Saccharomyces cerevisiae S288C: one gene and its partner. The protein of the gene in region 2 purifies or fractionates together with the protein of the main gene of each other region. This does not show direct contact. Each region holds a gene or a part of one and is shown on either strand. Other genes may lie near its edges.

Region 1 (5,238 bases), on a different chromosome or scaffold from region 2:
CTAGCCAAAAGGAAAGGTCGTGTTATTGGCATCAACTTTGCCTTCTTATTCATCGATTCATTAGGTGCTTGGCTATCTATCATCAGTGTTATCCTAGGTAATATGGATATTATGGGTATTATATTATACTCAATAGTTGCTGGAATGGAGTTAGGAATTTTCGCGTCTCATTTCATATGGTGGTGTAGGTTTAGATTCCTAGCTAAAGGCAATACTTTTGACGAAGAAAGTGGCCAAGCTCAAAAGGAAGAACCCGATGAAAAAATCGAACAAGATATTAGCAAGAGTGACCGAAATGTTACTAACTATAACCTGGATAACTGTTCAATCCCCGACGATGCTTCGAGCTTTGCAGACGATTTTAATATATACGATAGTACTGATGGGGGGACGTTATCAAGAGCCCAAACATTGCATGCTGTCCATGGAGTTGTGGTTAGAACAGATCCTGATCGTTATTCGAGGCTAAGTGTGTAACGAATCTGAGTCCTTTTTAGTTAGCACGTTTTCATCTCTTTTTGATAGCACGCTTAATAATATTCACCACTAGCGCAGTAATATGGCATCTGCCGCAGGTGTAAAGGTTTTCACTTCGCTTATATTCACAATACTATGCGTTCAAACACGGCCATCAGAAAAGATCAAAATAAGGATTATTAATTAAAAACTTAAACAGAAATTCAGTTTGCAACACCCTTCGCAATGGCGAAGTTTCCAAAAACAAAATCTCCAAACAAGATTAACATTCTTCTTATGTAACCACATGATATGCATATTTTATATAGACTGTACACATGAAAAACTTTTATCGTCCAAAATAATTAAAAGAAAATTTCAATCATACCATAGCACACTGTTCCAGTAACTGAGAAAAACATTGTGAAGCAACCAACATAATGCCAGATTGGCGCCAAAGTGAACCGACTAAATAACAACAACAGGCACGCACAGATCAAAATAAGGGAAACCAGTAAGGAAATGATAATAATGGCTATGAGAATATTTTGAATTTCTAAATCTATCTCATTATTACTTTGCCCGCGAAACAAGGATAAAACGATTCCCAGACATACACTTGCCATAATGCAAGATGTTAGCAGTGCAGACAAGTATAAAAATGTAACAACTTCGTCATGCCTATATTCGTAGATAGATTGTGAGTCCTCTATGTCTTGCTGTTGATACTGTAAGTACCTTTGAACGTCATCATATGACGCTGAAGTTGATTGTGAACCAAATGACGCAACAGAACCATAGTTAGTTGATGAACAATGCGGATGCTTAGAGTTTTGAAACAAATCTGGCGATGTTTTCTTGTCATGGCGAATCAAGTTTCGTAACTTCTCACAAAAATCATATGTGCGGTTGATGAAATTCCGGCTAAACAAAATAAACCCATAATCAGGCGGAGAATTTCTCAAAAGTAAGGATTCTTCGTTATCTGTTGTACTCCTGCTTCCATTAGTATCAATGTAAAAAGCATTGTCTAAATTATCCTCTTCTTGTTCATCAAATTCATTCCAATACCTAATAGGTTTCTTTTTAGTTTCATTATCCGATTGCTTTGATTTTTTGTGAATTCGAACTCTTCTGCCGCTGTCAACACTACCTTGTGAGTTGTTTATCGGCCCAGTCAGGTCAAACTCTTCCTCTAGACGATCCTTGCCCAGCTGGAAAAATTCATCAGGTGATAGCGAATCATCGGAATTTAATTTATATTGATCTCTTAGTAAAAGTTGAAATAAATCATTTTGCAATTCATTTGAGTGTACTAATTCTAAACATATTTTCCATGTGGTTAAGTCTGGTGGTATTAAGCTGCATTGAAACTCATTTGTAACAACTGATTTCATTAACTGTTTAAACTTATTGTCTTCATTAATAGCCGTCTGTGAAAGACCACTGGATCGACTAAGCTTTTTAATTTCTAAAATTGGAAAGGGTAATGTAGATACATTTCCAATAGTGATAGATTCATCCAAAGCTATCAAGTATATATCTCCATTGTCTGCTGATATGAATCTTGTTCTTTTAAAATCTAGCTTTGGTTCAATGGTTTTTAATCGATGGGACTGAATCCACTCCAAAGCGATCTTACTGATTGGCGATGGATCCAGTGAGTTTATGAGAGCGCTAATATTTTTTGTGTCGTTGCCACTCCTCATGGCCGAAAGAATATTCTTTACATCCCTTAGAAGCAGATCATTTGTGACAACATGATTTCTTAAGCCGCCCACGTGGCACATTACTATACAAGTATCCTCAGCAGTAGAGCTGACTATCATGTTTGGGTGCTGATTTATATTATCATCAGTAAGTAGTAAAGGACTGCCTTCGTTCCCGACAGTATCTAGTATACTAATAGAAACGTACTTCTCATTGGATTGTACAGCAGAGGGTAATATGTTCTTCTGTTTAGATAGGGATAAGGTATGTTGTAAGTCATTGAATGACTTTGCTGATCTTATAGATTTGTTGCCCGCAGAATTAATATTATCTGTAGTGTCTAAAATCTCCTTTGAAGTGGATATGATGCTATCGTCAATTATCCTAAAACCAATATTCAATAGCATGAACTTCAGTCCCTCTATGTCCTCGGACGATAATAAAAACCTTCCTAGATTCTCTGCTTTATCTATGAGGGCAGTATCGAATTCTAGCGAAGAATCAATCATTTTTGAAGTTTTCTTGTTTGAAAGTAGCGGAATTGACCTTGGAGATGCTGGCAAGGAAGAATTGTTGGCTTCTGGACTTGAACTTGTATGGGCAGATTCATCGGAGCGGTTTAGGGATCTTTGCTCCACTGCTGGCTCAGTTGCATCTTCAAGTTTATTTTCCAAATCATGTAAAACATCAACAATTAGCGAAACTTCTAAAAGATATGGATCTAAATCAAGCTTCATAAATGATATGCCTTCGTGTCCATTTCGTAAACTTTCAGAGTTTCTGATCGACGTAACATACTCACTTGCAGTCAATGGATTTTCACTGTCTTGAGGAAATTCATTTAGTAATTTTTTGAATAACTTTCTCAAGGCAATCCTTTGTATTATCAAAAACCTTGACAGTAGTTGTAGTTCAAAGTTACAATCGTCTACATGAGCGTTGATGATTTTCAGTTTACGAAGGTTGAAACGGTTTCTGGAAGTTTTGTTTAAGCCCTTTGAAAAATCGATTATTGATGATTCCACAGAAAGAATACGAGTGGAAATTTCCTTTATTTTCAAAGAAACAAATAAATTAACATTTTGAAATTCCTGGTCAAAGGCTACTGAACATTGATTCAACAACTTCTCCATGCCCGAATCATTTGGATTGTCATAATCATAAGCCGTTACTTTTTTTATGGCTACTTTTAACTTCTCATAGTTAATATTGTAGAATTTCCATTCAGGGATTGATTTATTCAATATGCGATCTTCAAATTTCATGATTGTACAACCCTTCGTATCTATCCTTACCTAGGGCTGAGATGGAGATATACAAAAAAAAAGCAAAGGTAAAAAGCAAGTATTAAACTCTATCTCTATTATATTCAAGAGGGCAACGGACGAACTATTAATTTATGAATTTTAAAAGTCCTTTGATAGCGTTCACGATAGGGCTTTTTGATCTTGCCTTTGTTTATCTTTTTATCTGTTTTGTTTTTTTTTTTTTTTTTTTCTTGGTTCAGTTTTGACTCTTCCACACACCCATTTCGCTAGCGTAGAACAAGGGGAGACACAAACTTTCTTTTCCTTGCAAGTTAATAACACAACACCCGTCCTCCTGCACTGAATTTACACAGAAGTTAAGAACCGCCTCTGCTTTTCTGGTATTATTTTGCAGCCTTGCCTAAAAAAAGTGTGGTAATTTTTGAGAATAATATATTACTGTGTTTTTCGAAACGAAAGTTCTGAATATTGGCTTGGTCGCTTCCTGATATCTGGAAACTTGTTTAATGTTTTTAATTATCAGTCTTCAAAGCGTCCTGATATGACTTGCCACGTTTCCATCCATTCTATATGTAGTTTAAATACAATGAGATAAAGGGTGCCTGCATGGAACTTTCCATTCGAAAAAAGAGATCATAAACCTTATCTGTCAAATAAAAGCCAATCTATTTGATTAGGTAAAAAAAGTGATGTCAGACCAAAGTGCCCCTCTCCTGCAATGATCATCGATTACGTACGGGTGTAATGATCACGACAGTAAAGTGAGCAAGGTAACTACTATCCCTAAGTGCGGCGTCATTGTAAGTCTACGACGTAGCATATTCAGTTTACTGTACAAGAAAAGTTTTCTCTCTGTAACAAGAGGAAATTGGTTAGCTTTCTACGCTTACTTCGTTTGGTACGATCAGTAAAGGTGAATAAATTAAGATCCACGCCTTCATATGGCAGGATCCACGATATTCCTTGCAATACCCCTGGATAATTCAAAAACCAAATGTTACACGGTATACTTGAAAATCGATACCATATTAGGAACACACCGGCCAAAGGTTGATAATACTTGGTATGAGATAAAACCCGAGCTCAAGGTTTAATGTTAAAATTTTTTGTATATATATATATATAGTAATGGGCTCGGTTGCAAATTTTTATGACTATCTTGAAACTAGTTGAAATTGCAAGAACCGTCACTCTATGGAGTACATGAACAACTAAAAAATAGCTTGAAGATACTTGCCACTCCATGCCATTTCTAGAAAGGGGTCTCTTGAGAAATGTGTGTTAAAATAACGGTTATATAGTTGGAAAGAATATTACTATTTTGCGATTAAGGGATGCCGTATGGCAGGCAAGGAAGTATTTGATCAAGAATACCGATTAATGAAGCATGTTTGCCATTATCGTTGAACCTTGGTATTTCTCAGGTTTCCTTATCGATACGATAGGAATGAGAATCAACTAACATTTATCGACTACAATTCATTATTACTACTATATTATCAAATGCTCTGCAAGGAGATGACCAAAAAGAAATGAGAAACAGTCTTCATCTCAAAATATAGGCAATTACCAGGTATACGATATTTCCTCAAAATGAAAATGCCTAAAATACGACAGAAAAACTTAGGGTGACGACTTTTTAACTAATCACTGAATGCAGCCGAAGCAAGTAATTATTTCCCTCGTTGCTACTCATTGAGGCCGCTCCATATGGAGATTTGAAAAAGGTTCTATTGATTCTTTAACTGGTGTCCATCCCCATGAGAACGTTTTAGTTAATTAACTGCTGGTAAAATAAGCGATA
Region 2 (4,533 bases):
TTAACCGGTCTTCTAAAACCTTATTAGGCCTAGCCTTATTTTTGATTCCTAGCTGTAGAATTTTCACGGCATATTGAAATTTTTCTTTCTGAATTAATAGATTCGTAAATTCTTCATAAAATGACGCTAACTCGGAACCAATTCCATTTCTTAACATATACATGAAAATGTCTCTGCTTTCCATGAATGAATTTCTGGTAAAAAGTTCTATGTACCAAAACCATATTTTAAGAAACCTAACATCATTGCGATATCTCTCCAAATCCTTTAAGTGAGATAAACATCGCTCCAAAAGGGTGAGCATTCCAGATTGTTTGGAATTACCGCCTTGTGGATAGGCGTTGTTCAGCCACTTTATGTATTCAAGATACAAAGTAATTGGGTCGCTTAATGCAGGGAGCTCATCTATCAGTCTTTGTTCGAAGCTTGATTTAACTTGGTTTATTTCCACCAGTGGTTGATGTATCGCTTTCGAGAGTGCCGCTGCTGATCTGCCTTCCTTCAGGGGAAGAATGTTTTCTTTTTGAGTTTCGATTTCTTCAAAGTTAATAACATTTTGTGATGGTGACGATGGCATGTAAGAGATACGTTTCTTTGCGTACGCTTTCATTCTATCAAGTTAACGTCTTTTATTGTATTTTCGCATGATTTTGTTTACTATTTTTGAACCAGTGTGCGCCTGGTGAAGGTGTGCATTTCAGGCAAGAGGGTAGTTCTCATATATAAAAAAATGGCGCTAAAGAAATTATTATATCTAATATGATTATTACTTAATTATACAGTAAAAAAAACACGCTGTGTATTCATTTAGCAACTAGGTTGCAGAAAAAGGAAAATAAAATAGAGAGAATTAGAAACACAGAAACCATGCCGGGCCCGATCTTATCCTCATAATCTACTGCTCTCTTTAGTCTAATGTTTACCACTCTCTTGGCATAAACCATAACAGTACGTATCAACACAGCCAAGGAAGTAATAAAGAACCCAATGGAGCCAATCATGGCTGTTGGTGAACCATATGTTAATAAAGTAGTGGAGACACCGCCCAACAATATCGAGATGGACAACCAAGACAGGTAGGTTCTTTCAGTGGCAAAGTAAACTTTTGGTTCCACACGAACTGGCACACATATCGTCTTTCCCGGTGGGGCACGAATTTGAGTATCAAAAGTAGTACCTTTTGGGATTTTAGATATTTGATCACCGTTAAAATAGTGGTCAAAAAATGCCACGATTTCATAGTATTTCTTGGAGATAGGATTTTCGGCATTCCTGATCTTTCTTTGATAATAAGCAGCATTAGCACTCTCAACAACATGATTAGTGTTGGAGGTGGGGGCCGAAGTAGCCCCGTAACCAACAGATTCTTCTATATCAAGAGAATTACCGGGTGCGTTTGTCATGGCAGCAACCAAAGCAGCGTCATCCTCATCATCCTCATCGAAGTCGTTATCTTCGTTATCGGATCTACCGGGTCTTGTTATTTCAATATTTGTTGGTAGTGGAGGTTTCCTGATATCAACATCCATTTGAGGTAACCAAAATGGGATTGAATCCACTTTATCATTTAGTAAGGTAGCCACACCATGAATAAACTTGGAGAATTTTGGGACTGGCTCAACTAAGTGAGACCCGACTAATTCACGTACCCACTCTGGAGGTTCTTGACCTAGTTGAGTTTGCAATTTAACTTCCAGGACTGCATATGGGAAACGGCAAATATCCTTGTCATCTAGCTGCTTGAATGGCCAATCGACACCAATATCAGTTCTCCTCCAATTCTTATGAGTTCTATCCACACCATCAAAGTTGTCTTCTCTCACCATAGTTAACTCTGTATCAAGGGAGATACGAACTCTTGCATCACCAGGTAATTGAAAAGCAGTTCTATTGTAGAATGATCTCACTACAGGTCTCAACTTTTTCTTTAACATGACGTATTGAATTTCGGATGCTAACGCCTCCAAGTTTTCAATTTCGTTCATTGGCTTCTTGCCTTCTTTACGCATCTTGGCAAATACTTGATCAACAGTATATTTACCCTTTAAGAAGTCATTAACATGACGTTCCTTTAGCGCAAATCTTGCCTTGACAGATTTCTCACCAGTCCAATCCTCTCTATGGGTCTTTCTTTCTACAAAGATCGTGTCTGTAGACATACCCCCATACCATCTCAATCTGTGGGCTTCTGCACCTTCATCTTTTCTTAATCTGCCATAATAAAGGTCTAGATTTTCATTATCAAAATAGATCGAAGTAATAGCGGAATCTTCTCTTTCGAATTCCTTATTAGTGTTGAAGACTAACACTGGTAAATGCTTCAAGATGATCAGCTTCAATTCTGTAATGTTATCAGGGTGAACCCAATACTTTGTTGTCTGTCTAACGAAATTTTGTTGCTTCCCACCAGCAGATGAGTCTCCCTTGATTGGGCGACCTGAAGTTCTGGCAATATCATATAGTTGGGAAATTTTAACGACTAGTTCGTCATAGTTTTCCTTGAAAAATGGTTTAGAGTCTAATCTAACTTGGAAAACTGGTTTCAAGATAAAACCTGTCTTCTTATCGTGTTTCTTGATAATCTTTTGGAAACCAGTGTAGTTTAGTCTCGAAAACTTTGCTAGATCATGAACATCGGCAATGATATCACTTAGTTCTTCTTCTAGAATCTCAAAATCTAGCTGAGTAGGAGGATTATTGGAGTCTAACAAACGAACAGTATGTTGCACTTGTTCTTGAACCTCTTTTACACGTCTAAAAACTTCACTATGCTTAACTTTGCAAAATGTGTAAACCTTGTCTAACTCGATCTCCAAAGATTCTAAAAAATCTGTTTCCAATTCTTGCGTCCACTGACCGTTATTCTTAGATAAGTTATCTTCTAGCTCAGTCTTCAGATCATCATAACTAATATAATAGTAGCTGTACTGTCTAATAAGAGACTTGCTCAAGTGCTCACCAAACTTCATAGCTGTTCCTGCCTTGTTATGCTCTTTTATTGGCCGATTTGATTGTTAGCCTGTAACTTCTTTCTGATTGCCTCAATATATAAAGATAGTATTGCTTCTTTTTCATTCACGTGTGCAGCCACGTGCGGATGAATAATAAAAATGCAACATATATGCATAGTGCGGTGTGTGAAAAAGTGAACCTACAAGTCAGTAGCTCTCCGTCAAAACGCAGACAAACCAATTTTTTGTCGGTGTTTTCCTGTGCAATTCCAGTAAGTAACATATTAATACAATTTCCTATGATGGGTTACGTGGAAAGCAGAGAGGCAATTGCGTGATTAATTCGGAATATTAGCAACGCTTCTCTTAGTATGAAAAAGCTCTTCGAAAGACTATATTTTTGAAAGCTTTAATATGTTTATAAGTTAAATATTGTCGAACTTGTTTGCGACAGCTCTTGAAGTCACGGTGCGTCTTTTTTTACTCGTCAACTGGTATAACAATGCGTATGACAATTATTATATAACTATTACTTTATTCTTGCCATGAAGGGATTACTGTAACGCCCTCAACTAGTATACCCTTTTAAGCCTCGACAAAAATACAGAATAAACAAAAGTTAAATCTCACCGAAGTTGCTTGTGGTACTGGCTTTACAGACGTTTATAACGCAGCACTAAATTTCCAAATAATAACCTTCCTCCAATGGAAATAAAAAAAATCGAGACTAACCCAAAGTGTGCGCAATAAACTCTAAAAAATAAAGTATATTCTTGTAAATATTTCTATATGCTTAAGTTCAATAATACATGCATACTCATTGAACATGTTATATTGTTACACAACAAAGTAATTTCTGTTTTTCGGAAGTGCCAGTCCAAATCAATTCAAAGCACTGTACACTCATGCGTAGCCAGAGATGATCTCTAGCATTTCCTCAATTGTTTTTTCGTCAAATCTTGCATCACACTCCTCCACTATGGAGTAAAGGTGGACCATATTGGCAGGAAGTTGATTGACAATCTGCAGTTTTTCAGCCTTGAATAATTTAAAAGAATTCAGTTTAGTCATCAACTCAGCAAAGCTTTCATCGCTCATTTTGCTTATACCCGATTTTTCAGCATCTTTTGCACCACTGCTTTCTCGTTCCTCGCCTTCATCTTCCTGGTTGATAAAGTTTTTGTTTATACTGAGATAGTTAACCACATTGCGAGTAATACCTTGCAATTCAGGATGATTGTAGGGCCTATTCTGCTTACCTTTCGAGCGACTTTTCTTCAGCGCAGCCAAACTTTTTTGGTCCCAAAGATGTTTTTTTTCTAGATCTGTTAGGAACTTCAAGACTTCATAGTCACTTAAAAATGCATTCCTTTCCTCAAGAACTTTCATAACGTTTAAAGTTTTTTGTTTAAGTGTCGATTTTTTCAGTGGTGGGTGTTGGATTCACTCAACTTCTCTTCTACTGTGGCTGTTATTTGCTTAACTTTCATAGATCGATGGCATTGAAAAAAATAATTTTTCAGGCAATTTTCCTTTTTTTACTTGGTATAATTTTCAGGAATTGAAGGATTTTTCAACGAAT

The links.
Region 1: the proteins of VTC4 (region 2) and VTC5 purify together in Saccharomyces cerevisiae (affinity purification with western blotting; 2 studies listed by BioGRID, with this or other methods). This does not show direct contact.

What each region holds. Positions count from the first base shown.
Region 1 is NC_001136.10:620,305-625,542, reverse strand, and holds VTC5 (Vtc5p), read right to left. Parts: upstream 3,432-5,238; coding exon 822-3,431; downstream 1-821. Other genes in the region: ILT1 (Ilt1p), read left to right, coding at 1-477. UniProt on the Saccharomyces cerevisiae protein: Regulatory subunit of the vacuolar transporter chaperone (VTC) complex.
Region 2 is NC_001142.9:410,431-414,963, forward strand, and holds VTC4 (Vtc4p), read right to left. Parts: upstream 2,970-4,533; coding exon 804-2,969; downstream 1-803. Other genes in the region: MAD3 (Mad3p), read right to left, coding at 1-610; DNA-directed RNA polymerase III subunit RPC17, read right to left, coding at 3,855-4,340. UniProt on the Saccharomyces cerevisiae protein: Catalytic subunit of the vacuolar transporter chaperone (VTC) complex.